4 linked regions of the Caenorhabditis elegans genome follow. The protein of the gene in region 3 interacts with the protein of the main gene of each other region in a pairwise test. Each region holds a gene or a part of one and is shown on either strand. Other genes may lie near its edges. The genes, in order: C01G6.4, unc-10, nhr-41 and copd-1.

The links.
Region 1: the proteins of nhr-41 (region 3) and C01G6.4 interact in a two-hybrid assay, tested with the Caenorhabditis elegans proteins (one large-scale study listed by BioGRID).
Region 2: the proteins of nhr-41 (region 3) and unc-10 interact in a two-hybrid assay, tested with the Caenorhabditis elegans proteins (one large-scale study listed by BioGRID).
Region 4: the proteins of nhr-41 (region 3) and copd-1 interact in a two-hybrid assay, tested with the Caenorhabditis elegans proteins (one large-scale study listed by BioGRID).

What each region holds. Positions count from the first base shown.
Region 1 is NC_003280.10:9,269,589-9,277,262, reverse strand, and holds C01G6.4 (RING-type domain-containing protein), read left to right. Parts: upstream 1-4,220; 5' UTR 4,221-4,238; coding exon 4,239-4,303; intron 4,304-4,485; coding exon 4,486-4,543; intron 4,544-4,591; coding exon 4,592-4,660; intron 4,661-4,710; coding exon 4,711-4,799; intron 4,800-5,305; coding exon 5,306-5,537; 3' UTR 5,538-5,998; downstream 5,999-7,674. Other genes in the region: Germ layers disorganized gldi-3, read left to right, coding at 1-1,058, 1,112-1,234, 1,278-1,478; C01G6.3 (Lipoprotein), read right to left, coding at 6,111-6,566, 6,614-6,736, 6,785-7,369.
Region 2 is NC_003284.9:7,275,940-7,284,366, reverse strand, and holds the start of unc-10 (Rab-3-interacting molecule unc-10), read left to right. Parts: upstream 1-4,044; 5' UTR 4,045-4,065; coding exon 4,066-4,134; intron 4,135-4,283; exon of another isoform or gene 4,284-4,422; intron 4,423-4,467; coding exon 4,468-4,517; intron 4,518-4,576; coding exon 4,577-4,710; intron 4,711-4,764; exon of another isoform or gene 4,765-4,849; intron 4,850-4,889; coding exon 4,890-4,960; intron 4,961-5,374; coding exon 5,375-5,562; intron 5,563-5,675; coding exon 5,676-6,012; intron 6,013-6,069; coding exon 6,070-6,214; intron 6,215-6,323; coding exon 6,324-6,412; intron 6,413-6,619; coding exon 6,620-6,675; intron 6,676-6,722; coding exon 6,723-6,904; intron 6,905-6,963; coding exon 6,964-7,063; intron 7,064-7,412; coding exon 7,413-7,585; coding exon of another isoform or gene 7,586-7,591; intron 7,592-7,638; coding exon 7,639-7,922; intron 7,923-8,021; coding exon 8,022-8,226; intron 8,227-8,274; coding exon 8,275-8,398; intron 8,399-8,427. UniProt on the Caenorhabditis elegans protein: Regulates the efficiency of a post-docking step of the release pathway. Acts after vesicle docking likely via regulating priming. May regulate the conformational changes in syntaxin.
Region 3 is NC_003282.8:1,383,243-1,391,247, forward strand, and holds the start of nhr-41 (Nuclear Hormone Receptor family), read left to right. Parts: upstream 1-2,972; 5' UTR 2,973-3,046; coding exon 3,047-3,049; intron 3,050-4,600; coding exon 4,601-4,718; intron 4,719-4,771; coding exon 4,772-4,908; intron 4,909-4,973; exon of another isoform or gene 4,974-5,045; intron 5,046-5,365; coding exon 5,366-5,461; intron 5,462-8,005.
Region 4 is NC_003281.10:6,620,679-6,628,474, reverse strand, and holds copd-1 (putative coatomer subunit delta), read left to right. Parts: upstream 1-3,502; 5' UTR 3,503-3,513; coding exon 3,514-3,655; intron 3,656-3,739; coding exon 3,740-4,372; intron 4,373-4,429; coding exon 4,430-4,801; intron 4,802-4,867; coding exon 4,868-4,976; intron 4,977-5,181; exon of another isoform or gene 5,182-5,234; coding exon 5,235-5,526; 3' UTR 5,527-5,775; downstream 5,776-7,796. Other genes in the region: C13B9.2 (glycerate kinase type-2 family protein), read right to left, coding at 6,281-6,882, 6,928-7,120, 7,170-7,673. UniProt on the Caenorhabditis elegans protein: The coatomer is a cytosolic protein complex that binds to dilysine motifs and reversibly associates with Golgi non-clathrin-coated vesicles, which further mediate biosynthetic protein transport from the ER, via the Golgi up to the trans Golgi network.

The sequences.
Region 1 (7,674 bases), on a different chromosome or scaffold from region 3:
CTGAAACTGCGCCTATGGAAGTTGATGATGAGAGGCATTCTGCTAGCAGTGGATCAACTGAAAACAACTATCGAAGAAGAACTGATTCGGAAGAAAGTGAAATCTTGGACGTTGTTGGAACAGATGAGCCTGATAAGGACGAGAAGGGAGGAACTGAAACCGAGACTCCAACGCCATCCCCAGAAGATCATGGACGGCAAACTCAAAATAAGATTGACAAGAATGTCCGGATGAGTTCTACACCCAGAATTGACGCCCAATCAACACCATCAGCAGTTGTTTCTGCACTTCCCACTCCAATGAATTCACCGTTGCCTAGAGTAACTTCTTCAAAATCTGCGCAAGATGTGTCGACGCCTTCTACAACACCCAATCCGGTATCGCGATCGCCAGACCCTGTGGCTCTCGTTAAGGATTCGGTATCTTCAGAATCAACTGTTTCTGGCATTGTTTCTTTGGAAAAAATAGGATCACCTGCAGCACAATCTGTGGCTTCTGTCCTTCCATCTGTTTCAAACACAACATCCTCCACATCTGCATCTCTGACAACGTCTTCGGTAGCAGAGGAAGAAGAGACTTCTAGCAAAGAAAATACAGATCAGAAACGAGCTGTTGATGATTCATCAGACGAATCAGCTCGTCTTGTTAAACAAATCAAGGCGCTTTCGGCAACTCCATCATCCACACCTGCAGAATCTTCGAAGAGGAAACAAAAAGATACATCTTCCCGAAAAATGAAACAACTTGATGAATCATCTGCTGATTCTGATTCCGAAGATGATGGAAGATCGGGCGATAAGTCTACAAAACGAAGAGATAAAGCAAGAAGATCAACCCGAATTGGAAAATCAACACCTGCAAAGAAAGTTGGAAAGAAAGAAAAAGTTGTTGAAGATGAAGATGAGACTGATGATGTTCAAGAAGAAGAGAAGGTCACTCCACGAGGAGGCCGTAGAAAAAACATGAAAAGAACAGCCAGTCAATCAGCGATCAAGGAAAGAAAGACAAAAGACAAGGACGTAGAGCCAGAAGAAGCACCGAAGAAGAAACGAGGAAGGGTTCGTGATTTTTGAATAAACTTGAATTAAATTTCTAAAACTTTAAATTACAGAAGAAGGCGACACCTACCGAAGAAGAAGAACCACCAAAAACGGAGCCAAGCAAGGAAAGATGTGGTGTAGCAAAAGGACATTGTATATCTGCCAAATACGAAAAGAGAAAAAACTTACAATGGGTACACACTCAAAATATTTTTATTTTACAAATATGATTTCCAGGTTTCCTGCTCCATCTGTAATCAATGGTTCCACGTGTGGTGTGTTCGTCTTGACAACGTTTGTTATCGAGAAGACGAGACCTTCCTGTGCTGTGGATCACATCCATCAAAAGAAGCCAAAGACGCGTTAGCCGGTCGAGTTTATGCGAGGTATCAAGCAATGCCGAATAAAAAGCCAATCCCACAGGCTTCTGAAGCTTGAAATTTTTCATCATTTGCAACAACATCTTACCATTCATTTTATCATAATTTCGCCCCAGGAATAATTAGTGACATCGAGGTAGCATTTCATTTATTAAATATTCTTTCTAATCAATCATTTATAATCCCCCTATTTCTGTATTTTAAGATCTTATGTGGAAAACGAAATTAATTTTTCAATTTCCATACAGTTAGAGTATTTCCCCTCCAAAAAAACACGTTTCGTCTGTCTCTTTTGATTATTTCGCGGGTTAAAAAACTCTTATTTATGGCCATTCGGTTGATTTTCCTCTTTTTTGCCTAGGCGATTTCTTTCCTGTTTGTTTTTTTACTTTTCTTGTTTTTATTTTTCCTCTTTTCCCCACCCAAAAACTAACAAAAAAACCCGAGTTGTGAATTGTGTGATCTCTGGAGATTCCGCACAATTTTAGGATAATCTAGCCGGCGAGATTCCCCCATCATCCCAACATCATCATCTTTTACCATCCCAATGAGTAGTGTCGTTTTGTTTTCGGTTTATCTTTTTTTTTTACAAGTTTAATTCTAATATACTCAACCGATTAGCCTAGGATAATGCAGCCAACTGACTTAAATTTCTCACTTTTCCCTCTCAATAACTCGATATTCTTTATCGAAATTTGCCTTTTTTCTGTTCAGATTTCACATCAAAAAGAATGGTGTCCCCCGAATCTTTGATATTTTGCTAAAATTTGTATTTTTCATTACTGTTCGGTGTTCACGAATAAAGTTTGATAAAGTTTGATTTAATTATCTGAAAATGTCGATTATTTAATTTTCAGTTATTGCTTAACAGATATTTAATTTATTATGTAAATTTAAGTACATTGAGAGTGGAAATAAATTCGAATTTGATGTTCCAAACAAAGCGATGCTGTATTTGAAGAAAATAATTCTGAAAAAGCAATTTATAATTTATACGAATCACAATCTTTTGCCTCAGAAACTCCTTTCATTTTTCTTTCTGGAATTTTGACCAGTGAAATTGGGACGACAATTTTTAAAAAATTAGGAGAACAATACAGTAGCCCGTCGCGCAAAATATCTCGTAGCGAAAACTACAGTAATTCTTTAAATGATTACTGTATCGCTTGTGTCGATTTACGCGTTCGATTTTTTAAATGAATAAAATTGAGCAAAAAATGAGAAAATAACACGAAGAAACGAAAGAAAATGGAATATTGCTGTCACTTTTTGAAAAAAAAAAAGATTTTGAAAATTGAGCCCGTAAATCGACAGAAGCGCTACAGTAGTCAGTTAAATAATTACTGTAGTTTTCGTTACGAGATATTTTGCGCGTCAAATATGTCGCACAATATGCATTCTCCGAGTTTTGCGTTCCTGTAATACGAAAAAGGTTACTGTATCCCAGGGTTTGGATCGTAGTTTTAGAAATCCCAAAAAAAAAGTTAGGACTCTTTGATAAAAAATTTTGTTCGATATGATTTGAAAAAATAAAGTTCCGTCAACAAAATTGACAGCTGAAGAAGGAAAAGGCGGGGCCCCAGTGGGCATGAGTGTCCCCAAGTCATGCGGTTATGTCTCTGCGTCTCTTCTTCTTCGTATACTCTCATTTCAGCTGTCTCATCGTCTGAAACTCTTATGGCTCAATGAACTCTCGTTTCAAAGAGACAGCTGCAATCGAACAGAGAGAGAAAGAGTGAAAGAGAGAAAATGAGAAGACTGCTTCGAGACACAACCACTTTTGGTCGTACTGCTTTTTTTCACCTGTTTTCACATGTATCGATTCAAGTTTTTAGAATCTAAGTTTCAAATTTTGATCACTTCAAAAATTATTAGTTATTTCTTTTTAGTCTAGACTTTCCTCGCGAGAAACATGCTTAAATTTGAATATATATCGAAATGTTGTATTTCTTATCAATAGACAACATTAATGTTTACTATCGATTAGGTTTTGTACGATTATGTCGTATAAAAATGTTGCTAATGCATTTCCTATGATTCTTGATGTTTTAGAACGGATTACGAAATTCTGCAATGATCAGTCAAATAATTTAAAGATATTTAGTATATTTAGCTACCACCTAGATACAGTAACTGATTAAATCGTCTCACTTCTTAAGTCTATTGTTAACTCTTTTCCTTAAAAAAGGGTCTTCATGTCCTATTTGTTTTGGTTTCGAGACCTGTTTTGGGCATAAATACGTGCAAACTACGGAAAGTCATTCCCGGTTTCCCAGAGAATCAATATTTGACGAGAGCTTCCGTGCACACCCAAACACACAGACACACATACACATAAAATGTTTCACAAAGTCGCTAAAAATGTTTTCTCATTGATTTTCTGGGAAGCCTGATTAATTAAAGAAGTCGCAGTGATGTTGTTCTTAAAGTTCGATGTGTAATTATGAGTAATTTTCCTTCCTGGTTTTCCATGCATGGACGTTTGAACATTATCTTACTATTAATTAGACGTCTAAAAGGTCTTGCGGCGCGAGCAGTGGGTTACTGTAGCTCGTGTCAATTTACGGGCCGAAATTGTACAATATACATTTTTTAATCATGAGTCAGAATTTTTTAAATTAAATTAGAGAAATATAACGCTATGGCAAACTGTATTTTGACACGAATTACAGTAACTTGTTGCCCGCGTGGCGAGACCCATCCGGAAAAGTCATGTAGAAAATTCTCATCTTTAGTCGTCTGAGAAATACTCCGATGTCCTCATTTTGTCACATCTTCATATATTCGACTTTTTTTTCAGCTTGATTTTCGATCGACAATGGGAAACTGCTTGCCGTCGTTGTTCGGGTTCGTCAGACAGCACGATGAGACGCCACTACGACGGTAATTTACTTTGTCATTCACTAGTATACTGTGAGATGTCGATGAAGCTAAACTGATGTGATATACCACAAAAATGAAAACGGAAGTTGTATTAACCAAAACACGTCGATTTTTTAAAAATTTAAATACAATTAGATTGTATGCTTGAAGTATAGAACAAGTTCAATAAACTATTTTTGCAGGAGCCGATCATCAGACGCAGCGATGAGCTTCACAAATCCGTCAATGATGCAACAAAGCGTAAGAAATTATTGAAGAATCTGAATTTAATTAAACTGAAATTTTCAGAGTTCGTACGTAAATCAGCTCTATCAACACAACGTAATTAGACAACGACAAGCACAGGAACAGGGAAAAGTGAGCGTTTAGAGCAGAATAATTTTAATTAAATTTTAAAAAATTCTCAGGAACTCGACGAAGCAAAAAAAAACCGAATTCGAGGACTTCTCGAGCAAATCCCTGCTGATGTATTTCGAGGAGATATGACCAGTAATGAGTAAGTTTTGAAATTCGGATCTAAATGAAAAATTAACTAAATTATTCAAACTACAATCTGACCAATATCAATTATTGTTCGAGCTACAGCAGAGGTGTTGAAAAAATTATTATCACCCAGACGCAAAATTTCACTCACAAAATATGGTTCCCGGTCTCGGCACGACAAAATTTTTGTGTACTGTGGAAGAGTGTGCGCCTTTAAAGATTACTGTAATTTTAAACTATAGATATATACGGAAATTTCATAGATTTTTAATTCTTTTTTGAAAACTCAAATATATGTGATTAAAAAATCACATACATTTTCACGAAACTTAAAAAATGATGAAATTTCCGCTGCAAGGAGAGTTTGAAAATACAGTATTCTATAAAGGCTCACACCTTTTCGCATTAAACAAAAAATTGTCGTGTCGAGACCGTGTATCGCACTTTGGCGCAAAATTTCGCGCCTGTATAATCAGTATTAATGCGCTCTAGTTAAATTTTTAAAAAAACCATTTTCAGATGTGCCATCTGTATGATCGACTTTGAGCCAGGAGAGAGAATCCGATTCCTTCCTTGCATGCACTCGTTTCATCAAGAATGCGTCGACGAATGGCTTATGAAGTCATTCACATGTCCTTCGTGCCTTGAACCAGTCGATTCAACCATACTTTCCTCGTTAACTGCCCATAATATGCAATCCTTACAACAAATCGTGTGCTCGCCGACTTCCTCATCAACTGCCAAACCATGAATGCCTTCTGCAAAAAATATTCCCATTTTCTTGCCCAGTAGAAGTTTTCGAGTTTGGTTTGCAGTGTTGGCTGTATTTGTCCCCATTACAAACGTCTGTATATAGAAATGCGTGTACATATGAACTATACCATTTCTTCACTCATCTTTCACCATTTTCATTTTGTTTCTTTTTTGCTCTGTTCCACCTGAAATCCCCATGTTGTGCATACTGTAGTCGTCTTTAATTCCTCATCATCTCCTGTTCATCTTTTTAGTCAATTCCATCCCAACGTGTTATTTTTCTTTCTTCTGTTCACTCATCTCGCTCTCTGTTCTGTAGCTTTTCTTTAATTCACCACTCGGTACACACTTTCTGTCTATGTATCTGATACTCATTTTATTGACTTCCCAAAAAAACTTCCGGCTACTCTGAAATTCAAATAAATTGCTTTTTTTTAACGCATAAAGTGTCAAATTGTCAAACTTGTTTTATTAAAAGATTCATATTGGAAATTGAAATTTGAAAAAAAGGATTGGATCCCTGATGGAAATTGGTACTCGTGGTGAAAAAAATATTAAAATTAAAAGTCAATTAAAATCCGAAAAAGTCTCGAACGGCATCCCAGGCTCCTTGATCGTAATGCTTATGGCTTAGCATGTTCACACCACGTCGTTGAGTGGTATACAATCGTGTCGGAGTGTCGGACTTCAGAATCTTCTGCGATTCTGGCAGCAATTCGGCGAATTGGCTCTTCTCCGGCTCGTGATGAGGTGTCATATCGGGCATCATAACTGGTGATCCGTTTTCAGTGGTTGGAGTTCCAAAACTAGTTCGGAGCACGAAGACACGTCCAGGAACGGTTGATTTTGTGCCATTTTGATACAAATCAACATCAGACTCGGTCGTAGCGTAAATATATCCGATTCCGAAGCTTCTGCGGAAGACAAACTCATCTTCGGTCTTGTAGGCGTAAATTGGGCAATCCGAGAGAGTACGAACGTCGCATTGGGTGTCAAATTCTTCGAAGCAGTAAATGTACGTGCCGAACTGAAAATTGAAACATTTAATTTGAAAGAGTATTCAGTAATACTAACCAAAACTTTGCATTTTTCAAGCTCAATTGGGATTACAGCTTGTTGAGTGATCAGGACGAATTGTGGAATATCATAATAGGCATAGACCTCCTCATTGTGCAAGAACTCTCCTCCATGGGCCAACTGAAATTATATTTTTTTTTTTTCTTTAAATTCACTCAAAGGACTTACCGCATAAATAGTTCCAGATTGTGGAATATCTGAAATATTGAAGCAAATCATCGTCTGAACAGTCATCTGTTTCACGTTGCAAGTCTTCGGGAATACCGTTGTCTTTTGAGCAAAGTCTAGAACATCGTTGGCTCCGGCTCTTTTGATGGTTTCTTCAGTGACTGAATCCAGGAATGGATTATTGATTTTATTCTCCAAAAATAGAGATTTGAGATCTCGTTCGAATCGAAGACTATTCCAATTGTAGTCGAAATAATCCAAATATCTCATTTGAGATCTATCCTCTGTCAGATTGTATTCTGGTTGCTCGTTCTCGGTTTGGATATTGAATTTGCGGCAAATTGCGTCGAAACTCGTGAAAATCCGCTTTTGAAGAAGCCCTCGACTGTACTCATTCATATTGTTCGTGTTGAACGAGTTGACAAACTCATTGAGATCCAAGGTATACGGTACACAGTGTTGCTTCTCCGGAATCAGACGTCCTTCACCGTAAACTTCAAACTCGATTCCATTGGCACGGAATGAGTCGAGCACTGAGCATGTGGAGAATGCAGAGCAAATTAGGAGAAGAATCAGAAGACGCATCTGAAAATCGATAAATTGAAAGTGAAACGAAAGGAAAGTTGAGTTAGATTCCAGAAAACTTTCAAAAACCAATGATGGAATGACTAAAAAATGGGAAAAGAAGAAGTAAGATTGAGGAATGAAAACTATAAATTGGATAAAAATCCCGCCGAGTTTGTGGAGGTAGGTCAAAAAAGTATTTAAGTCTAGAATATAAAGTTTGTTGAACAGCTACAAAAAAATATAATTAGATACAGTATACTCCCAGCTTGCCTATAGATGCACCTAATTCTTCTATTGTAGGCAGCCACACCTTCAGGCACATG
Region 2 (8,427 bases), on a different chromosome or scaffold from region 3:
CCTCAAAATTACCAGGTTCTAAACATATTATTAATCTATAAGATATTAGACCAAATGCACATAGTGTAAAAGAAAATTTAGCATGTAATTATAGGATTCAAGCTTTTTTAATACCTTTCGAAATAGACCCCTATAATTTCTTCACTGATCTTTTTCAATCAGAACGAACATTTGTTTTTTGCTGCATTGAGGCAATCGAGCTAACAATTTTCAGACGGTAAAGTACCGAAATCTGTGGCCTTGCTCTTTTATACCGAAAAAAGTCTAAAACTATCTGATTGCGAAACAAGTCGTTCTGAAAATTAAAAAAAAAGTTATGCCGGATTAAAGTATTCGGAAAACAAGGCTAAATTTCAGCTAAAATCTTTATTTTCCAATTTATCAGTGCCGAAGTGCATTTGTACATTGTGCACCCATCGACATTAAAACAAAAACAATCTTAATCAACGGAACAAAACTTAATCAATTTCCGAATTATGCATAGTGATATTATGGAGAGAGAGAGTGATATTAGAATACAATTACTTCCATGAGTTGTGACTTTGATAAAATAAAAAATGTTTAGATTTTAGCTGAAAGTAAGTTTTATTCCGAAACTTTGAACCTCCTTAACTTTTTTTTTTTAATTTTTGGAATTTTTACAAAATCCGGTACTTTTGACTCATTTTAAATCTAAAAAGCAAATTCTAAAAGCGCGATGAGTGTGTCTATTCCACCTTTAAAAATATCTAAAAATACATGATTATTAAAAGTAGAATATAACACTTTTAACTCCCACTCCGGTAGTTTTTTTTTCAAATATAGCTTTTTGACCCATTGCATTTTGCGTTTTTTCACTTCACTTCCCCTTGCACCTGAAATATTCAATTTGCACCCAAAAAAGAGAGCACTTCTCTGTAGTACAAACATGCGCAGTCTGTTTCTATTCTTCCACAACTCTCTGCACCTTTGTTTCCATCAGTATTCCCACATGCACTTCTTTTCCTTGTGCCCTCCAAAAAATATTTTATTTTCTTACGAATCCCACGTTTTACCCACATTGTCAGTGGACCACTGATTGCTGTCAGCTTTTGCCAGGGAAAACCTTTTACCAATTTCTCTCTATCTTTCGTTGTCTTTTTTTTGAAAATTTTCATACACACATAAATGGACATACATTCTTGCGACAACGACACAAGACCCTTTCTGGGTCCTTCCTAACCTTTTTCCCTGCTCGAATGTTTGCAGACGCAATAGTTGAGTGATGTCAGTTATTGACGGAATGTTTTTTGCCTTCTCTCACGTCCACTTTTTCTTGCCCAATACGTTGAAACATTCGAACTGCGCTGAGAAATTGACTCTGTTTGAATTTTGTAAAATTTTCGATGGTAGTTTTTCTAGGTTTTAACTTAAAATTTGTAAATAGCTTTATTAAAACAAAAATAAATTTTTATTTTATTTTTTAATATACTTTGAAACATCTCCATGCTATTTTCAAACAGTTTTTGCTCAGTTCGTGAACTATTTTTTTCCGTACTTTTGAGAAAGTTTTGAATCTGAAAAAATACTTTCTGGATTTCATAAGTTGTTATTCCAAAATTATATATTTAAAATGCAACAATAACTTTCAAAATTATGCAAAAATTATTAAAAGATAAGAAAAACGGGTACTTGTGTATTACATGCCCTCATTTTAAAAGTAATTTTTTAAGATAAAAAAAATGAAAACGTGAAGCATATTCTTGTATTTTTGGGCTTAGGAAATAACCATTTCTAAGCCTAAAAAGGAAAAATGTAAAAAACCCACACACGCAACTTGGGTATTTCAAATATAGTGTTTTTAAAAGTGCATATTTTAAGAGTAATAGTATTAAATAATTTTGATGTGACTTCAATTGTTTTCAGGAACATTTTATGTTTACCATAACCACAAAAACATATACATAAGTAAAAAACAATCAATTGTTTTATCTCGTAGTGGGTTTTTATAGGTATACTTATATTATGATCACTCAAATAACAGATAGAGTTTGAAAACAATTTGAAAATATGTTAAATTGTCATTCATTTTTCAAACTTTGTCCAATTTGATGAAATGTGATTTGAATGCCTTATTTTTAGGTTCAGAAACAGTTTTGTCCTCAAGAAAACCGTACTACGTTTTCACATTCATAACTTTGAAATTCGTTCCGATAGCGTTCCGCTAATAAACAAGAACTCTCAAATGTCTCTGATATATAACAAATCTGAAAAGTATTAATGCACTTCCAAAAGGTAATCTTTATCTTTGAAACATCACATTTACCCATCTAGAAGTTTGTTAATTCTGTTTCTTGTCAGCTATATGAATTGATTCATAACGGATTTTGTCCGCCTTTTATATATCTTCTCATAGTTAATCTAATCTTCAAATCGTGAAAACTCTTTTCATATAACACATTTAGAAATCCAGCCGATGGAATAGGAAAATAGTATATATATATATATATATGGATATGGATATATAAGTGTTGCGAATGTTTAATATTCTCTTTTTTTGAAAAGTTTGTTCGATTGTTGAACAAAAATGTTTTGCTTTTGCTGTGAGTTTTAATAATTAGTTACTTCATAGTCCTAGTAGGAATTCTGAACGTATCTGAAAGGGCATTGAAGGGGCGTGAACTTTTTGGAAAGGTGATCCCTCGTCCTGTTCCCTGTTTGTCTGTCCCCTGTCCTCACCTCCTTCGTCTTCTTTTTCTGTCGTTTTATACTTCTCTTTGCTATGCATTCATGAACAGATAATCCAATTTGAGGCTGAGGCCTGCGTGTGTATGTGTGTGTATGTGTGGAGGCCCTCCAACGAAGAAAGAACAAAACTTGGCAATCTTGAGCATATTGGATAAGCTGCCCGCTGAGTTGCTAATTGTCAACGTTTGGCACAAACGCCACATAGAGCCATCTCGGGATGGAAAGGGAGAGAAGACTGGTTGGGGGAGAAAAGAAGGGTAGAGCCTTTGGAGCATTTTTGTGTTTTGCGGGCGTTGCTCCATCCCTTCGTCGTTTTCTCCACCCTGCGTTTGCGCATCAGTCGCCACACGCCGCTAGCCCCCGAGTCCTAAACCCCTCCCTCCCATCTACACACATCCATTTATTTATTAGAAGAGCTCTGAGTAAAACATGAACTATTCGCTATCCGTGGCCTTGTTTTATTCATTGCTTATATCGCATTCGCCCGGGTTTTCCTCCTGGGCGCGCCTTGTCTTTTTTCTTTTCCTCCCGTTTCACCTCCGTTTTTCCTTTCGCCCTCTTTCTCTTTCCTTACGGATACGGGAGGCTCCCCCCACCCCTATCTTCAAACCTTGTCTTTTTTCCGTGCTCAGGGAAACGAGCATGAATTCATTGTCTCAAATGAATGTCTCCTTTTGTGCATCATTAATCTTGCATCGAATTTTGCTTTTTATTCTTACATGCTTTTGTCCACTTTGCACAAGCTGTCCATTTTTTGTCAATTCAAACATCAGCTTGAACCTTTACCTGTCCATGGTTGGCCTTTTTTTATGGCGAAACCTGGCGAACCCAATATCCATCACCCTTCTATTCCTTTTCTTTTCCCGTTTTCCTTCGCTTCCCACTTCCCCACCTCCTACGCTTATTTCTTATTCCTTTCCCGTTTTAGTGCTCTCTTTCTCTTTTTTGCAAAAAGTTCTTGATAGCAGTAAAGAAAAGAAGAGGAAGACTATTTTTGGATGTCCCGAGTTTCCCACGGTATTCATCGACGTCGTCGTCGAAAATGACCACATCCAGTCTTACTGGGCGCTCATGTCTTGGAAAAGGCGTCATTTTTCAACGTTTCTAATCCCGGACGCTCTTATTTTTCCTCTCTCGGTTTCCCCATCTTTGACGCTGTTCTTTTTTTGTTTCAGCGTTGATCCTGTTTTCTTGTTGGCCTTTATTGACATACAACTCTTAAACCGAACAAATTCGTTTCTATTCTTTCTATTCGGATTGTTATCGCGCTTTAGTCTTTTTATACGCTATGATTTCACATGATGCAATAACTCCTTATTACCTTAAAAATCAAACTTCAGTGCCTCATTAAATATAATCATGGACGATCCGTCGATGATGCCGGATTTATCCCATTTATCTGCAGAAGAACGTGAAATAATAGAAAATGTGAGTTGTTCCAGCACGAACCCCCTCCCCCCCCCCCCCCCCCCCCATCGTTCATTTTGCCCATCCGTCTGCTTCTTGTGGGGTTCAAAAAAGTAGTTGGTGCGGTGTGAGTCCTCTGTCTCGGAGCATGACGGGCCCCCCGAGGGGTGAAAGAGCGAGAAAAGGGGAGGGGTATTACTTACAACGCCGTGAGCACACGCAAAATAATGGATATGCAATCAAACGAGTGTGTGCTCTTATGTACATTCGACAAGAAAATTGGCATGATATCATGCGTGCACATACATATAGAGAATACTCACTCAGAACGCTCATGATTTATGTTTTTTGCAGGTCTTCAAACGACAAAAAGATGAGGAGGCAAAAGAAACACAAATATCACAGTAAGAGTTTTGTAGACACATAATTGCATTGGTATTTCTTCATGCGAATGATTTTCCAGAAAAGCATCTGAAGAATTGTCAGAGTTAGACAAACAGATCACGGAGCGGAAAGAAACATCGAAAAAGCTGGTTGGCACACAAGATGACGCGATCTGTCAAATCTGTCAGAAGACCAAATTTGCGGACGGAATTGGTACGTTGTTCCTTTTCCTGAAGAAGCGATGAGAGCAAAGGGTCCTTCTGTCGCCCTGAGATGAGCCTCGTTTTCTGTTCCTAGTAATTCTCTCCGCGGCGTCAGAGAGCCCCTAACCCTTGGCTGTCATCGTCTCTCTAAAAGGACATCAATTTAGCACAAGATGAGAGGTTTTTCAGGCCACAAGTGCTTTTATTGTCAATTGCGTAGCTGCGCCAGATGTGGAGGTAGAGCACAGAGCAAAAATAAGGTACGAGCGGGAGTGAAAGTGTGGGATGAAATAAGGGGAAACATGAAAGAGAAAGGACAAATTCTGGATGACTGCATTTGAATAACAGAATAAAAACCAATTTGAGCAAAATCGACTTGAACATTTTTGCGATATGATGTTGCAATGTTTATATTTTCACAAAAAAAATCTAAACTTTACAATTTATTATAAAATCATGTTTAATTTTATAGTTAATGAATCTAATTTGGAAATCAAGCGAAATAATCGTTTTTACATCTAAAAAAATACGACAGAAGCTGAAAAACAATAGCATCCATTGTTTGCAAAGTAGTTTGGAATAAAGAGATAAATAGAAAGTATTAGCCCCGTGGGTGCACCGACCGATAAAAAAGTAGAGAAGTGAATTGAAGAGAAGAAGTAAAAAGCTTTCAGGCAATCTGGGCTTGTTCGTTGTGCCAGAAACGTCAACAAATTCTTGCCAAAACAGGCAAATGGTTCCAACCCGAAGAGCAGCCGCAGCCGAAAATTAGCGGCTCCGAGCCAAGCCCTTCGCCCCAACCACTAACTGACGACAACGTACCAGAACCGCAGCAGAGGCGAGCAGAGCCGCCTGATAAAATGTGAGTTTCTTCCGGTTTCTTTTACTTTTCCAAGTTTGTGTTTGATTGTTACATGTTCCTTTGAAGCGTTAGTTTCAATCAATCACAATTCAGACTAATTTTCATATTTTCAGGAACACTCCAAATTATCAAAACAACCAACAACCCCGTGGAATGGGAATGCAGCCAAATCATAATCAAACTCAGCAGAATTTCATGAATCAGAACCAAAATTCAAATCAACATCCAAATCAAAACCACAATCAGAATCAAATGCAGAACCCGCATCAAAATCAAAATCATGTTCAAAATAATCATCAAGGAGCCAACAATCATCAACAGAATAATCGAAGAGCTATGCAACAACAGCCAATGAGTCAAAATCAGGCAAATCAGATAAATCAGATGAATCAAAACCAAAATCAACAACAGAGCCACAATCAGAATATGACTCAAAACCAGAGAAACCAGGTACTTGAAGTTGGAAAGTTCCACGATTATTTCAAATTCTACATGTAAATAATTCAGACTGGCCCCCAAAACCAACAAAGGACAAATGACTCTCGAACTATGAAACAAACGCCTCAACAGCAGCCCAGTCAGTATCAAAACAACGTAGGCGCGGCACATCAACACCATAATCAACATGGACAACAAGAGCAGCATCATCAACGTAAGAGCCTCCAGGGGTATAAAAAGAGAAAGTGAAAAACAAAACAAAAAAGTGTTGTGCGCTAAAATTGCGAACGAGACGCAAATTGATATAGTCTGGATAATTTCAGAAATGAATGAACAACGGACGGATAACAACAGAATGAGAGAGAATACTAACGGGCAAGGAGGAATGTTCAATAGGCAGCCGTCATTAGAGGTGAAGGGATCAGGGATATCAAAAACGAGCTTTTGAAAAAAGATTGAGCAGCTTATTATTAGGGTGATACTTCTGTAAAAGTAATGAACAAATGTGAAGAATCATCTAGAGCGGAAAATTTGGTCAGAATTACAGTACTGTCGTACAAAGTTCAGAGTAGAAAAATATATTAAAATGAAAAAAAAAACGAAATTGTTTCTAATTTAGCAAACTACGCCCATGAACAAATACAATCACGTTGAGGATGATGGCATGAACCAGCGGTAAGTATCCCATAAAGTTTAAAAACTTGATACCCACTTGCTTTCAGACCCACGTTCTACACTGGAAATTCCGAGAATGACCAAAGACAATTTGATGGCCAAATGCAACAGGGCTCACAACAAAATAATCAGAATCAGAACCAAAACAACCGAAATCTTAGAAAAAACACAGTCAGCCGGGTAACAGAGGAGGATTATGCAAGTTCGTCAAACTTCGAATCTAAGAAACGTAAGATGATATCATATCGATAATACCTTGCTAAATTCTATTTTGAGAATCAATTTCAGAGCGGAACAACTCTTCACAGAGTCAGTCCAACACGCAAGGCGTGCGAGCATGTCCTTCTACTGACGACCATTTGAACCGGGTGAAAAATCGATTGCATAGGTGAGCAAGTGTAATTTGGCTAATGGAAAAAATAGACAAACTCAATTGAGTAATGTCTTTTTTGTACTAAGTGCTCAAGCTTTGAGTTCATTGCTTTCCCTCTTCCAGTTACGTCTCCATTTTCTCATTATTTAGCATGACTTCCTTTTTGTTCTGCTGATCACTTTTTTAGTCAAACCAACAGCAAAACAGAAACCAGAAGAGCGCCTTTCGGTTTCAATGCAAATTTTTAATGAGCATTGCCTCATTTAGCTTTTTTCGCTCTTCATCAGTAGTTCAATTTCACATAAACTGCATTTTTTGTCATACATTCTTCTTCATTTTATTTGTTCAAAGTAATTGTTTGAAGGCAACTTCGATCAATGTCATCTTCTGAAGAGGATATTATTGCTGGAGGCGGTGGTAACACTTTGAAGATGTCTACGTCAGCAGTTGTGGCCTCTGGTGGGAAAACCGCATTTCATGATGATATGGGAGCGTCGAATGTGCAGAGGTTGTCCGAGGAATGCAATTCTGAGAAGGGTTTGTGTGCGTACTCTTGAAATCCCATGTTGACATTTTGATGAGTTTTTCAGACCTCCTTCGATATATTTATGGCGATCATAAAAACTCGGATTCATCGTCGTTGGGCGCTGGTGTAGGCGGCAGTGGTGGTGGCGGTGTCTTGAGCGGAAACAGCGTGCTGAAAAGTAAATCACATGCTTTACTGAAGGGGTCTTACCAAGGGGGTTTAGACATGCAAGCTAATCGAAGGCGTGACAAATCGCTGTCCTTGTCACCATCGAGAAATGATCATTTTGGAACAGGGAGCATATCTGGCGGAGATTTGTTGGCATCACGGATACGAACATTTTTATCAGTAAGCCTGTTTTGATACAAAAATTATAACTAAATGTCCTACATATTCAAAAAAAAAAGTTTAAAAGTTTGACAAGTTTCCAATTGGCAATGTTTTCAGCATCCTGTAACATGGCAACCTTCTGCTGATCAGAAAAAATTAATAGGGCACATGATACTTCATCGAACTGAAAATTCTGCAGCCAACGGGGATCTCGGTTTAAAAATTGTAGGCGGCCGAAGAACGGATACCGGGAAGCTCGGTGCATTCATTACTCAAGTTAAGCCTGGCAGTGTGGCGGACACCATTGGAAGACTCCGTCCTGGTAATGAGTTTTGAAGTGAGAGACTTTTTTCTTCAACTTTTTTTTCAGGCGATGAAGTAGTAGAATGGAATGGACAGTCTCTGCAAAATGCCACATATGAACAAGTATATGATAGCATCGCTGCAAGCAGATATGATACTTCTGTCGAGCTGATTGTTAGTAGGAGTGCAATGTAAATATACATTTTATTTTTAAACTCTG
Region 3 (8,005 bases):
GAAATTTAATGGAGAATTTTCATAACAGAAATCAGCTGAAAATTGAATTTTCCTCAAAAAAGGTTTTATTCCAGAAAAAATTATACTACCGATTTTTTTTTAAATTTCTCCAATTCCAAACATTTTCCATAGCTTCATAATATCAAAATCATCAAAACAAAATAATTTACCACCTCGGGGGTTCGAACCCCGGACCTGTGAGCCACTGCCCAGCCTCTACCCAGTTGAGCCACTGCGCCCCCAAATTTTAAAATTATCAGAAACAGGGCAATATGGGGCTTAAATTTTTGGATTTTTTGCAAGGAATTCGATTTTTTGAGTTAAAATTGTTAAAAATAAGAAACAATCAAAATAATCTTTTTTTTTTAATCGAAACAAAAACTTTTTTTGGTAAAGTTCAGTTTAAATTTTCTCACATTATTACGGACACCAAGAAACACATTTGTGCTTCTTTTTCTTGTCTGTCCTGTGAACACAATGGTGCTTATCCCGTTCCATTCTTCAAACTGTCTCTCGGCTAACGTATCCGTTGATCTCCCGCCACCTTTATTGCCTATTCATCCCGAGTAGTGAAAGTGAGACATCCTAGCTTTCGAATCTTTGATACTGTCTGGCTTTCGGTTTTTAGAGATAATTTTTAAAGAACTTTGGAAAAAAAATTTTTTTTGACTTAAAAAAAAAAATTTTTCAAAATGTTTAAATTGTCAAAGTTCCCCAAAACTGATTATTTCATCACACTCAACTTGTCAAGAGCTTTCATTTAAGTATAATCATGCCCCACTTTCCTCCATTTTCACAAAAGTTGGGTCTCACAGCGCGGGGTACTGTAGGCTCGCGGTGAGACTCGGAAAATTTCAAATTGGAGCAAAGTAGGTCATGTTTATATTTGAATGGAAGCTCTCAATGAGCTGGACTCAATTTTTACGTTGATTTTAAAAGATTAATAAACATAAAAATTTTAGGGATTTATGAAAAAAAAAAATTTCAAAAAATTTCAAAAAAAAAATTACCCCAAATTTTTTTCGACCAAAAACCGATTAGATATTCATAATGACACTAAAACCAGGTATCAACTCCTATTTTTCCGCCACTTGATAGCGGATCAGAACATCGATAAGCGGATCCGAAGAGGAGCTATTTCAACAAAGTCAGAGCTTCGAGAAGATTTGTTGAAAGCTACTTGTTTTTATACATAATTTATAGTTCTAAAATATTTTCTGAAAATTTCTGAAAATGATTTTTCAGGAAGTTTTCAATAGTTTTTTACCGAAAAAAATCTTTGAAACTCTACTAAGAACTTCTTAATATAAAAACTCGAATTCTTCATCAAAATTCTAGTCAAATTGGCCCCCATATTGAGCCATTTCCTATAAGTTTGAAAAATAGGTCGCGGTGGCTTCGCTGGGTAGAGGTTGGGCTGACGCGCGGAAGACAGGGGTTCAATCCCCGCTGTAGGTGAATATTTTTGTGAGACTTTTTCCATCTAACAAGAAAAGAATCTCGAGTTGGAAACTAGGTTGAACCCTGTATGTGAAATTTTTGGCCCAAAAAACCGGAAATTTTCAATTTTCGCCGCGATGGCTCAGTGGCTAACAGGTTTGGCTGTGAATCTCGACACCAGGGTTCGACCCCAGCCGGTCCCAAATTTTTTTTCCGGTACATTTTTGATCATATGAAATGGGTAAATATTGTCGAAAAAAATTTCCAAAAAAAAATTAACAACAAATCCTCACAGCTAATACTTAAGCAACAAAGCCGCTCACCTATAAATTATCTTAATGAAAATGAAAAAAGAAAATCCGCCCCGGCCGGCACAGAAGAAAAAAATTATTTAACAGATTGAGTTCACGGCTCCGCTAAACACCGATTATCCCCCGGTAGCGGGGGATATGATTTTTGGGGATTTTTCAAGGATTTTCTATACTTTCCATATTTTGATGAAAAAAATTTTACTCCATCAGTGTAACTTTTTTGACAAAATTTGTGAGAGTTACATTTTTGTAAATTTTTTCCAAAATAATGAAAAAAATGTGTGTAATGTCAAAATTACTTTAAAACAGGGGAAACTATGTTAAATTAAGCTGTGCAAAAATGTTCTGGTGCACGTTGGGGTCGAGCCCTTGACCTTCTGCGCCATAGCCTAACATGTACCCAGTTCAGCACACATTTTCACGAAATTTCTAAAAAATTTCAAAATTATCTTAATTAGGCCAATATGGGAGTCACGTTGAAATTTAATGGAGAATTCGAATTTGACGTTTAATTTACTAAAATTTAATTTTTTCAACGAAAATTACTCGACACATGGAAAGTGTTGAAAACTAGTTTCTAGCTCGAAATTTTGTATTTTTGTCACTCAAAAAATTGCAACAAAAACTTATGACCAAGCTGGGACTCGAACCCCTGACCTTCTGCACCATAACCCAGCCTCTACCCGATTGAGCCACTTCGCCCCATTTTCCGAAATTTTTGACAATTTAAAAACTACCGAAATAGGTCAATATGGGGGTCATATTGACGGAAATTTTTTGTAAAATTCGAATTTTTAGGTTTAAAACGTTTAAACCCAAATGCTAAAGACTTAAATGTTCGTTTTCCTCAAAAGTTGTGACCTTTTTTTTTGCAACTTTGTTATACCAAAACCGCAACACATAGTACAGTTCCCCCCGCCCCCAAAATTCGTTCCGCGTTGCTATTAGCATACAATGCCCCCCACGGTCACTCACCTCTGTGTGCACTCTCCCGGTTTCGCGCACTATTTCCCACGCCGCGCGCCACACCGCTTGAAACATATTTCCAGTTGGTCAGCAGCGGCTGACTGACCGGCGGCGCGGTGATAAGGGGGAGAGTCTCCAGGAATAACGGTCTGAAACACCTCTCACTGTACTACTATATTATTCTCTCTTGTTTCTGTATACTCATGTACACTTTGCCAAAGTGCTCTGATCACCCACATCGTCCCCTTATTCTAGAAAATTCCACGTCATCAACTGGGCTAATATTTGCTGAGAGTCAAGCTTCAGCATCCCATCAAACTTGGATTAATATGGTGAGTTTTCTGAGGAAACGTTCATTTTTGTACATTTTTTAGGTTTTACTGAAGAACTAGCACTCAAATCGAAAATATTTCGGTACTTGTGTATTACATGTCCTCATTTTTAAATTAAATTAAACGGTTACTCGTGAATTTTTAGCTGCGAATCTCCAAAACCAAGCTCACGGCGAGCTCTCAAAGATCCTGAAAATAGCACTTTAACGAAGTAGTGAAGGGCCAATTTTCCAAATTTACTTTGGTAGCTCATATCTCAGCGGATAAATTTTTTACCGAAAAGTCATCAACTAATATGTTGTTGATATTTTTGTAAAGAACAAGTTTGTAGTTGAAAGTTTTTGTCAAAAAAATTGTTGTTTCAGATAGAAGCGCATGAAGTGCGGCAACTGCTGCTATTGCGATTTTAATGCTTTTATCTAAAACAAAAAACTTTTGGTAAAAACTTTTAACTACAAACTTGTTCTTTACAAAAAGTTCAACAATTTATCAGTTGATGACTTTTCTTTGAAAAATTTATCCGCAGAGATATGAGCTACCAAAGTGAATAAGGAAAATTGCTTGTTTTGATCGTAAAGTGCTTCGTTACAGTGCTATTTTAGGATATTTGAGAGCTCGCCGTGAGCTTGGTTCTGGAGATTCGCAGCTATCGAATGGCACAGGTTTCATATGCAAGTCCGATGGGCACCTTCTGACGGTTCCCTAGTTAGGAAATTTTATTTCCTAAGCCTAAAAATCCAAAAGTGTGGTTCACGTTTTTATTTTGCACAACTTAAAAAATTACTATAAAAATGAGGGCATGTAATACACAAGTACCAATATTTCAATTAAAATGTATTCAACGTTAAATTCTACACCAATTTACCGCACAATACAAAACAATTTCTGAAAAAAACTTTTTTTCGGGACAATTGTTTAAAAAATTTTTAAAGGCTAATTTTTCAATTTTTCAATTATTTTATTAAAACATTCGAATCTTCCGTCTAAAATCTCTAAAATCCGTTAATTTACCCCCATATTGCCCTATTTCCGATAAGTTAAATTTGGTCTCGGTGGCTCAGTCGGGTATCTGTTGGTCTAGACTATGACGCAGAAGACCGGGGTTCTAGTCCGGTAGGAGGGATTTTCTTTTTATTTTGATTTCTTGTACAAAATAACATGTAAAAGTCTAAATTATGGGAGTTAAAAAAAGATTTACGAAAAAAAAATTCTAAAATGAAATTCCTGTCACTCTAAAACTGTTTCAACCATCAAAACAGTTATAGTAAAAAATAAAAACCACAACTGGGCTCGAACCCTCGACCTTCTGACTCAGCCTAACCTCTGACCAGCTGAGCCACTGGGACCCAATTTTTTGACTTTTCTAAAAATTTCAAAATTTTTGTAAATTGGTCAATATGGGTGTCAACTTAACGGAAATTTCATGGAGAATTCGAATTTGACAATGAATATCTTTTAAAAAAATTCTCTGAATTTAAAGTTTGGAAAAATTGTCTTAAACAGGCTAATTAACTGGAAAGTTTATGAAAAATTATAATTTTCTTATTCCAGACGCTGGGTGACCCTTGCTCCGTCGAGCAACCCCCACCTCCACCCATCGATTTCTCACGGAGCCTAATTGCTCCGACCGCTATCAAACAAGAATCTCACCTAATTCCCTCAACGCCAGGTAATATTCTAATTAATTTTTTTCGAATAAAAAATAAATATAAATATGTTCAGGCACCCCAACAGCTTTCCAACCCCCACAGCATGCGAACACACCAATCCCTGGTATTCAGCCGAATTTGTTCAATCCGGCAATAATGGCGGCTCAACTAAACGTATTCAGCAACCCACAGTTGATGGCAATGATGCAGGTAAACTATTTTCTGCAAAAATGAGAATTCGGCAAAACTGGCAGTGCAAAAATAAAAAAATAAACTTCCCATGCCGGGAATCGAACCCGGGCCGCGTGGGTGAAAACCACGAATCCTAACCACTAGACCACATGGGAGGACGAAACGAGGAGGTCTCGAGTGCCTAGAGAAGAGTGTGCGGGAGGGGCCTGCTGACTGTAGCGGAAAAAGTTATATGGCGGGGGCAAAAAGAATGTCCAATTTTTTTCGAAAAAAAAACGAAATATCTCTCAAATTCTCGACCCTAATGAAAAATTACTATGTGTCTATGTGTGTGGAAGGTCATTCGATAACCTTTTTTTTCCCTCAAAAAAATATCATGAAAGGTTTGATCTCGTTTTCAAAAATATTTTTTAACTTTTGCCCCAAAATTTGTTTTTTTTTTGTTAAATTCTCCCTTAAATTTTTGAATTTCCAGGCTACCAGAAACCCATTGTTAGGACACCCGTCAGTTGTCGGTCCACCAATGATGCCAAATATCATTCAACAGCTAAATGCCCTTCGAAATGTTCAGGTAAAAAAAATGTTGCTCAAAGAACTTTTTTTCAAAAAAATTTTCCAATTTTTCCGATTTTCTAGGATTCCTTTTTATTTTAACACACTTTAACTATCCAAACAAACCTTGAGAAAAACATTTTCCCTTACTTGGGCTCGAACCCCGGTCTTGTGCGCTACAGCCCAACCTCTACCCAGTTGCGCCACTTCGATCCATTTTCAAAAATTTTAAAATAATTAGAATCCGGTCATTATGGGGGTCAAATTAACGGAAATTGCACGCAGAATCCGAATTTCGACATGAAAAACAATGAAAATCAATGCCTCAACCTAAAAAAACACAAAATTTTAACTAGAATTAAAACAATTTTAGGTTAGGACTTGGAGTTTTTCAAATCATTTACTAAATTTTCTGCGTATACCTAATATTCCAATACCCTTTTTTCCAAAAGTTTGGACTACAAGGACAGTGTCGCGAGCGCGCGCGCTCTCTCTAAAAACAGGTTTTGATCACCGGTCGAATTGTAGCTCCGCCCACTTTCCGGGGTCCTCAGGTGACCTCTACGCTGTTTGGCAACTTTCTAGATTAATGACTTTTACATCTCTTTTTCTCTGGGTGTGCTTTGTTGAAAAACTAATTTTTAATTAAAACTAAAGTTTTGTATTTTTTCTAAACTTTTTTCTCTACAAACTTTAGAGTTAGCATAATTTAAATAAAAAATTCGAGTTCTCCATGCAATTTCCGTTAATTTGACCCCAATTTAGACTGGATTGCGATAATTTCAATTTTTCTAATTGGGTCGCAGTGGCGCAACTGGGTAGAGGTTAGGCTATGGCGCAGAAGGCCAAGGGTTCGACCCCCAGGTTTGCCAACTATTTTTTGCAAAGTGCGTTCAACCTGACTGATTGTGAACCAATTATTTTTTGCAACTCTATTTTCGTCAAAAAAGGACATTCTTCACTCGAAAATTTCCAATAACCTAGATTCCCAGTCCGAAAAACTGTACTTTTTCCCGATTTTTGATCAATTTTTGACCAACCCACCGGGCTCCAGGGGCTGCTCCTTGACCTTTATCAGTTGATAACTGTGGCGTCTTCTAAAAACATTTTTATCGGTGACACAACTTTCCACTTTTCGATACGTTTCATTCCAATTTTTTCACCTTTCTAACCTCGCTGACGTCAATCGGTCGAAGACTGAATTTCGAAATTGTTGCTGGAAATTTGCTCATTTTTATTCATTTTTTCAAGCCTAAAATTATTTTATGCTGTGTGAAAAAAGCTTGGCTCCTCTTTTTTCTTTTTTTTGCTCTGAAGAACTCTATAAATCACTAGTAAAAGGGCATGGAGAGGCTAAAAAATTTTTGAAGTATTTTAGGAAGACGTTTTTTGTCAAGGAAAAATATTTTTTATTGATTTTCAGAAAAAATTGAAAAAAAAATTATTTAGATTTTTGCAAAAATTTTTTTAAGGTTGCAAAATTCATCTTGAAACTAGATTAAAGTCTCATATTTCAACTAAGGCAGGATCAAATCATCCCGTAAAAAATATTTGGCAAGCCTGGGTGTCGAACACTTGACCTTCTGCGCCACAGCGTAACCTCTACCCAGTTGAGCCACTTCGACCATTCTCTAAAAATTGATAGCAATCGGAAATGGGCCAATTGGGGTTAAAATGACGGAAATCTGATAGAGAATTTGATTTTTTAACTTTAAAGTGTCCACAGTATAAAGAAAATCTAGAAATTATAGTGTTCCCGGTCATTGCCTCAATTTTTGTAGGTTTTTTTTTGAAAATGTTCCACTATAACTTATTATTTTCTTTAATTTTTACTCAAAATTCAAACTTTTGATTAAATTTCCGTTCATTTGAAACCGAATATTGGCCTGTTTCCGATAAGTTTGAAAAATTGGGCAAAGTGGCTCAGGTGGTAAGAGGTTTGGCTACGGTTCTGAGGGTCATCGGTTCGAGTCCTTGAAGTGGAAATTATTTTTTCTGACTGAAAGTTTGAAGAAAAAGTGAGTAATTGGAGAAATTGTTTTTGGAAAAAGCTGTTTTTTCTCGCCAATAAAAAAAGTCTAATTATTTTTCCGAAAACTTCCTTGTTATTGTTTCTCATTAATTTATCCATTTCCTTCATTGATTTTCCGTCATTTTAACACCCATAATGGTCCATTTTCGATAGTTTTGAAAATTTGTGCAGCAGTGGCTCAACTGGGTAAAAGTTGGCGTATGGTTCTGAGGTCGTGGGTTCGATCCCACTTGTGTTCAAAATTTTTTATCTGCTTTATCATTGCTTTCTCAATATTCTTAGTCAGTATACATTCCCTTTTGCCAACTTTTGATATAAAATTTTTAAGTTTTCAAGTTTTGCCCTCAAAAAACTTTGTGAAAAAAGGGGTGTAGGCGCATAATCTATAGGCTGTACACATGCATAGAGGGGATAAGCATGTGCTTGAAGAGTCAGAGGTCATGTTGCCTGGGTGATATGAGCCCCCTTTGCCTCGTGGCTCTCTAAGATGGGCTCCACCTCTCCACTTTTCTCTGCCACCTCTCTCGCGCC
Region 4 (7,796 bases), on a different chromosome or scaffold from region 3:
GCTGAATTCCTGTTATTGGATGATTGAACTCCTCGAAATGTGCTGGACCTGAGGAATAATGTTCAAAATGTAATGATTTGATAAATAAGTAATACCTCGTCCAACAGGAATCACATTTCTGATCAGCAACTTTCGTGGAGCAGAATTCAGAATCCTTTGAACCGTCGTTCTCGGACTTTTCACCATTCGAAACGTGTATCTGCCTAGAAAAATACAAAAATTGTTTTAAAAAATCGAACAAGTTTAATGAAACACGTTAATTATGAATTAAATGTAAAAAAACAAATATATTACTTATAAAAAGCAAGGATAATAAAATAAAAATGAAAGAAAACAAAAAATCGATATTACACAGCGCCTCAAATCGGGAGAGTTGTGAAAATCGAGAATTGGAAAGTCCAACGGAGCGCGCTTGCACACTTTTACGGTATTAAATAAATATCAGACGAAATTTCGCGATTATTCGAGTTTTCAAGATGAAATTTGGAACAAATAGTTAAATATTGGAATTATTATTGCTTTAAAAAAGTTTTAAAAAATATTTTATTGAACAAATTCAAGATTTGGTTGATTTATCATTGATTTTCGAACCGATTAGAACAAGTTAATTCTATGACAAAATTTCTACGCGAAACAAATTTTTTCAAGCATCAATATGTTTGATTCCAATTTTTAAACGTCAGCTTGATAGAAATAACACGGTTTCAAGTCTTGAAATTGCTCAAAAATGCCCAACTCAACGGAAACTGTTTAGTTGGCAGTTGATCTTCACTAAACCAACACTATATGTTCAGATCAAAGCAAAACTTGTTTTATCATCTGAAGAAACATTTTTGAATCATTGGTTCCCACAAAACTCAGATGATAAGTAGTATTGCATGATGAGAATCCATATGATTCTTCATATGCGCATAGCTATAGATACTGTAACTTCGACAACTCCTATCTCCTCAGAGAGGCAAGATATTGAAAAGTGATTAACTAAGAAATTTTAGAACATAATAAAAACTATAATAATTAGTTAAAACCATGTGTTTATCTCTTAAGATGAGGAAGTTAGAGCAGCCATTAGAATAACAAAAAGTATGCAATACAAATGTAAGTCTAACTCCCCAATCTTGGAAGATAAAAACGTAGGTTAAATTGAATATCATAGTTTTTGATGTGCTCTACAAGTTTTCAGTTGATCACTTTTTGATATCTCGCCTCTCCGAGTAGATAGGAGTTGTCGAAGTTGAGGTATCTAGAGCTGTAGAGGGTAGGAAGAACCTCATGGATCCTTATCAAGGAAAAGAAAATATAACACCAAACTTGTAAAAAATGTTAATTTGATCATTTACGTGAGTATTTGAGCCATTTTTGAGGAAAATTGGAGAGCAACACTTACATAAGAAATTTGGCGTGGCATAGATCACTTGGTAGATTGGAATATTGATATTTGATCAGAACTATTTGTATTTTTAGTGATTTTGATTGATTTGTAACTTTATTCTATTGAAATCTTTAATTTCATAAAAGTTATTCAACTAATTTTGCCAGATTCCCCTTGATAAATGTTGCTTTACTTTTTTATCGATTTCGTTTCCAAGAAAAATCATTTTTCTGTGTTATCAGTCAAATTAATAACTAAAACTCTTTAAAAAGATTCAAACTATTCATAAAACATCTAAAAGCAAATATTTATGCAATAAATTGCTCTAAAATCAATTTTTATTTGCAAAATTCTGTTTTTCGTCAAAAAATTTTTTCAGATTCGCCGAAATTCAGAGCTCGTTTCGAGCTTATTTGGAGAAAAATTTATGTTAAAATGAAGTAAATCGCATCGCAAACAGTCTCTGGGCGGTCCCGCATGTTGAAAATTGCTTTAAAATCCCTAAAATCCAGCAAAAACGCGATATTTTACTGTTTTGCTATACATTAATTCCAATTCGTGCGACGTCTGCAGCAAACGCGCTCCCGCTCCAAAACCACTTTTTTCGCTGTTCTCTCCAGATTTGAGGCGCTGTGTATTATTGCTAATTAGCACTGCTTTTTTGCTAATTAGCAATGGTTTGCTAATTAGCCATGGTTTTAAGCTAATTAGTTCTGGTTTTTTGGCCGTTTTGCCTAATTAGCAGTGATTTTGAGTCGGTTAGCCGTGACTCGCACCTGTCTATTAAACGAGATTTCAACCATATTTGTTTAGAAAATCCGTATTGCATTATATTTGCTCCATATTAGATTAGAAATCCATGTTAGATTAGATTTCCTCCATATTTCATTAGAAGACAAATCTAATCTAATATGGTCGAAATCTAATCCAATATGGTCGAAATCTAATCCAATATGGCACGATCTCAGCCATATTTGATTAGATTTCGACCATATTGGATTAGATTTCGGCCATATTGGATTAGATTTGTTCCATATTGGATTAGATTTCGGCCATATTGGATTAGATTTGTTCCACATTGGATTAGATTTCAACCATATTTGATTAGAAAATCCATATTGGATTAGAATAGGAAGCCTATTAATTATGTCCCCATTATATTTGCTCAGTTTCTAATCAAATATGGTTGAAATCTAATTAAACTACTAAGCGTTTGTCTGAGTATACTCGCTCGCTGAGCCATTTTGGCTCGATCCTGTCGCTGAGACCTTCTTCAGACCCTTCCTCTCTTTGGCGTTGGCTTTTGTGTTGAAAAAATTTTAATTTCCAAAAGATCAAATAGTAAAACAGTATTTGCCCTGAATTCAAATCATGAACCTAATTTAAATTCTCACGTGTGACATTTTTTAAGTGCTTAAAAACGATTGAAAAACTGATCGATTCTCTCTCAAAAAAAAGATTGCTGCTAGAATTTTTTCAGTCGCGAATATTTTTTTAATTCATAAAATTTCTCTCAAATATTTGATCAAATGTGCACTCAAAGAAATTCTATGCCTGCCAAAAAAGTTTTTCCTGCTCATGGCCTAAAACTACCCTTTTCCCGGTCAGCGGCCGCGGGGAGGTCTCGCAACGAAATGACGTTTCACTGGTTGTTCGTTGGAGATTTTCATCTTTTAAGCTGATTTTTAATAGTTTCTAGCTTTAAATTTTTTGTTTTTAATTGAAAATCGAGTTATTTATGTCCCTAAATATGCTATACACTTTAAATTTCATTGAATTTGGATTAAATGGCGACGTAATTAGAGAAATTTGAAATTATTGGTGTCGTACTCCGTACTTTAAGTTTTTTGAAGCATCAACAAAATTTTTAATATATTTCCATCATTATCTCAAAACTTCACACGATTTTTTCCTAGTTTTTCCGAATTTTTACTCGATTTTTATTGGAACTCTTCACAGAACAATATAAGTTTAGATGTTTTCAATATTTAATATTGATAACCGTACTTAACTAAAATGTAATACAATTAAATTAATTATTAAACTTTCCCGTAGCATATAAGCGTAAAACCAACGTGTACTTAATTTTTCTGCTTTTTTTCCCATTTCGATGCCATTATTTCGTTTCAGAGTATTTCACAATGGTGTTGATCGCCGCTTGCATCCTCTCGAAGACGGGAAAATTGCTTGTTGCCCGGCAGTTCGTAAATGACATGATGAGATCTCGTTTGGAAGGGCTCGTTGATGCTTTCCCGAAGCTTATTGGGAATGAGAAGGAAGCTGGTCAGTTAAAAAAAGTACTATGTATATTGGAAACCCTTAGACATTAATTTTATTTCTGATTTTTAAACATTAAATTGTTTTCAGCTACTCGTCAACATACATTTGTCGAGACAGACAGCGTCCGCTACGTTTATCACCCTCTGGACAACATTTACCTTGTGTTGGTGACAACGAAAAACTCGAACATTCTCGAGGACTTGGAAACTTTACGCCTTTTCGTACGAGTCATTCCAGAGTATTGCCGCTCAAATGAGGAGAAAGAGATTCTTGCTCACGATTTTGATCTGATTTTTGCATTCGATGAGGTCGTCACTCTCGGATACCGCGAGAGCGTCAATCTTGCTCAAATCAGAACTTTCACAGAGATGGATTCTCATGAGGAAAGAGTTTTTATGCAGATCAAGGAAGCTCAAGAGAAAGCTGCCAAGCAGGCAATGGCTGAAAAGGCCAAGGAACTCAAGAGAGCTCAGAAGGAGGCTTTGAGCAGAGGGCTCAAGCCAAGTTATCAATCAAGCACAGGAATCTCTTCATCATCCACTCCAAATGCAGCTGCAGTTTCTGAGCCAGCGGCTCCACGACCATCGGCACCGAAGGGACCAATTGGAGGTGGAAAGGCACTGAAGTTGGGAGGAAAAACGAATAATGAAGATGATTTCTTGGATACATTGAGACAACAAGGTCAAAGCATTGCACCAGTACAGAAAGCTAGTCTTTCAGGTAATCAACTTTTTTTGATATTAAATTTATTTTACATATAAATTTTATAATTTTCAGGAGGAGTTTCCTCTCTCGCCGCACCGATCTCCACAGCTCCACGTGTCAAGAGAGAAGTCGTTCACGTTAGAACTGAAGAGAAAATTAATACCCGTGTCAGTCGTGATGGAGGGCTCGAATCAGGAGAAGTACAAGCCACTGTTACCCTCTCTATTGGATCTCCCGAATTTATTCCAATTTCAATTAAAATGAATAATGGATCTGCAGCTGGAACTCAACTTCAAGTTCATCCAAATCTCGATAAGAAGGAATGGCAATCTTCGTCGACACTGAAAATTAAGCCGAACGGAAAACCATATCCAGTTAACTCAGATGTGGGAATTCTCAAATGGAAAATGGCACTTTCCGAAGAAGAGCAGTTGCCAATTTCTTGTAAGTTAGAAGACAAACAATTCACAATTGTATTGGTATAATTTTCAACCATTTTGCAAATTTCAGTCAATTGCTGGCCTCAAGAATCATCTGATGGAGTCCAAGTCAATATTGAGTACACATTGCAAAGAGAGGACATCACTTTGAACAATGTTCGCATCATTGTGCCACTTCCGTGAGTTTTTCAAAGTTTATTTTGACAATTTTGGTATACATATCAGTCCTGCCGTGTTTTCCAACAAAAACCTTTTAGTTCTCTTGGTTTTTCCAAAATCTGAAAAAAAAATTTTAAGTTTTCAAAAACCCAAAAATTTTCGTTCAGTTTACAATTTTCCGGCTTATCGTTTTGTTGGTTTTGCTTGAATGAAAACAGAAAAAATATTCGAAGGCACCTTTATCATTCCATATCATGTGAGTAAGTATTATTTTTCAGAACTGCGACAGCTCCATCCGTTGGTGAGTGTGATGGAGAATATGAGTACCACAAGACGAAGAACGTGATTGTTTGGTCCTTAGCTGTGATTGACAGCTCGAACTCTTCGGGAACCCTTGAATTCTCAGTTCCAAATGGCCATTGTGATCATTTCTTCCCTGTCTCCGTTGGATTCACTTCTGAAAACTTGTTTGTGCCGATTACTGTACAAAAAGTTGTGAAAAATGATGGATCGCCGGTAACTTATTCAGTGGAGACTACTTTCAACTCGGAAAATTTCGAAATTGTGTAATTTATTCCTATTCGAGAGATCTTCAAGATTGATATTTTTATTGCTTCCAATACCACCACCAAGCCACTAATTTTTCTAGAGATTCATGATTCCTTTTTTGCAAATCATGTTATCCCTTTGATTGCTGTGATGCATAAGCCACTCTCCTCCGACCCAATTCATACTGTATTTATTGAGAATATTTTAATTTATGTATGCTCTTCTATTTATTTCCATTTCTTTTGGGTTTTACGGATACATTTTTTTTGTACGATTGTTTTTCAAACATTTCAATGAGAATATAGAATCGAGTAGTCAGTATCAGAGTATCAGTATCAGTAGAGTATCAGAGGTGGGCGGATATTTTTTCGGATATTTTCTAATAATGAATTTATCAATAAGTATTGATGTAGTTATTCTGGAAGAAATGTATCCGAACCAAAGAGTAACTATTAAGCAACATTTTAATATGATAAAACCTAGAAAAATTCTACAAGTTTTCCTTACCGAGACCTTAAAACTTATTAGCCGAGCAACATCGGATATCGGATACTACGGATATTACGGATATCGGATAATGGACTTGCATATCGTTTATACAGAAAACTTGTAGAATTTTTCTAGGTTTTATCATATTAAAATGTTGCTTAATAGTTACTCTTTTGTTCGGATACATTTCTTCCAGAATAACTACATCAATACTTATTGATAAATTCATTATTAGAAAATATCCGAAAAAAATATCCGCCCACCTCTGGTTTAAATTGAATATTCATTAGAGCTGATCTAGAAGCAAAATCTGAATATCCATCACATTAGTTCCACTTGGTCCAGTTAAAATATGATTCGCTCCTCCTTTGAATTGTCTCCAAAAATTATAGGAATCCGAATTTTGCAAAAATTCCGAACTGTTGAGAAGAGAATTTAAAGGCAAATCTTCATTGCTTATGATTGCTCCGGCAGCATCCGTAGGTCCATCTTGTCCATCAGTTCCAGCACTCAAAAAAGTGAAATTATGAGCTGGAACTCGCGTCTTCAAAGCATCCAGACAGCTCAGTACCATTTCCTGATTGCGACCTCCTTTTCCTGGATTTTCAGACAAATGAACAGTTGTCTCACCACCAAAAAGTAGAGCAATTGGATAATTTTCGATAGTTAAATTCGAGTTTTTTAAAAGATGACTCGAAGTTATTGATTTTTCAGTAATAATTTCAGCAAACTTTTTTCCGATTTCAGCAGCATTTCCAGACAATGATGACGTCACAATTGTTGAATTATAACCAGAAGAAGTTAAATATTCAGCAGCCGCTCGAAGAGCAAAGTTGTTGCTTGAAATTATGAAGTTTTGGAAACGTGAAGTATTTTCAGGGAGTTGTTCTGAAAATTATAATATTTCATTACAATTACTATATTGGTACCCACCTTTTTCATGATTCTCCAATACATTTTTCACATTTACCGGAAGTTCCAGTTTATTAATTTTTAAACTTTCTAAAATGTTGGAAATGATGAACTTGTCTTGTTGATGGGCAGGGATTACTGTAGGTCCACTGGCAATGAGCTCCACAGGATTCCCGATGACGTCAGATATGATGAGCGCAATGGAGCATCCTTTCTGGAATTTAAAGTTTATAAAAACTAATGAGTTCTTCACAGAACAAAACCTTAATCTCTCTCAAAAGTTTGCCACCTTTCACATCTGAGAGATTCTGCCTAATGGTATTCAGCTCTTGAATTGTAGCCCCATGTGCTTGCATAATTCTTATAGTTTCCAATTTTTCAGCCAAATCCAATGGAGCACTGGGTGAAGTCAATAAAGCTGAACCTCCACCGGAAATTAGAAAAAGAAAAATCGTGGATTCAGAGTCGAAATCTCGAATTTCAGAAATGACTTTTCGGGTCGCAAAAACTGATTTCTCATCAGGAAGATTATCTCTTGCTCCGTATAATATTTCAGTGTCATTTTCTAATTCATTTTCAATTCCTTTTTGTTGTTCCGGTGCAATTACAATTGTTTTCTGTAAAAGTGATGACTTGAGCTGGTCTCTTGCTCCTTTTGCCATTAGAATCGATGCTTTTCCGAATGCAATTACGACGATTTTAGTGGAATTAGACAATGAATAGTTGTAATCAGCAATTTTCAATAAGGACGGATTCAAGGAGATTGCCTGGAAGATTTTCAGTTGAGCACGTTTTTAAAAAGGAAAAATTCCGAACATTTTATTACACTGACGGGAAAATAAGTGTATGTTGTCTAAAATGATACCAGGTCTCGACACGACAAACATTGG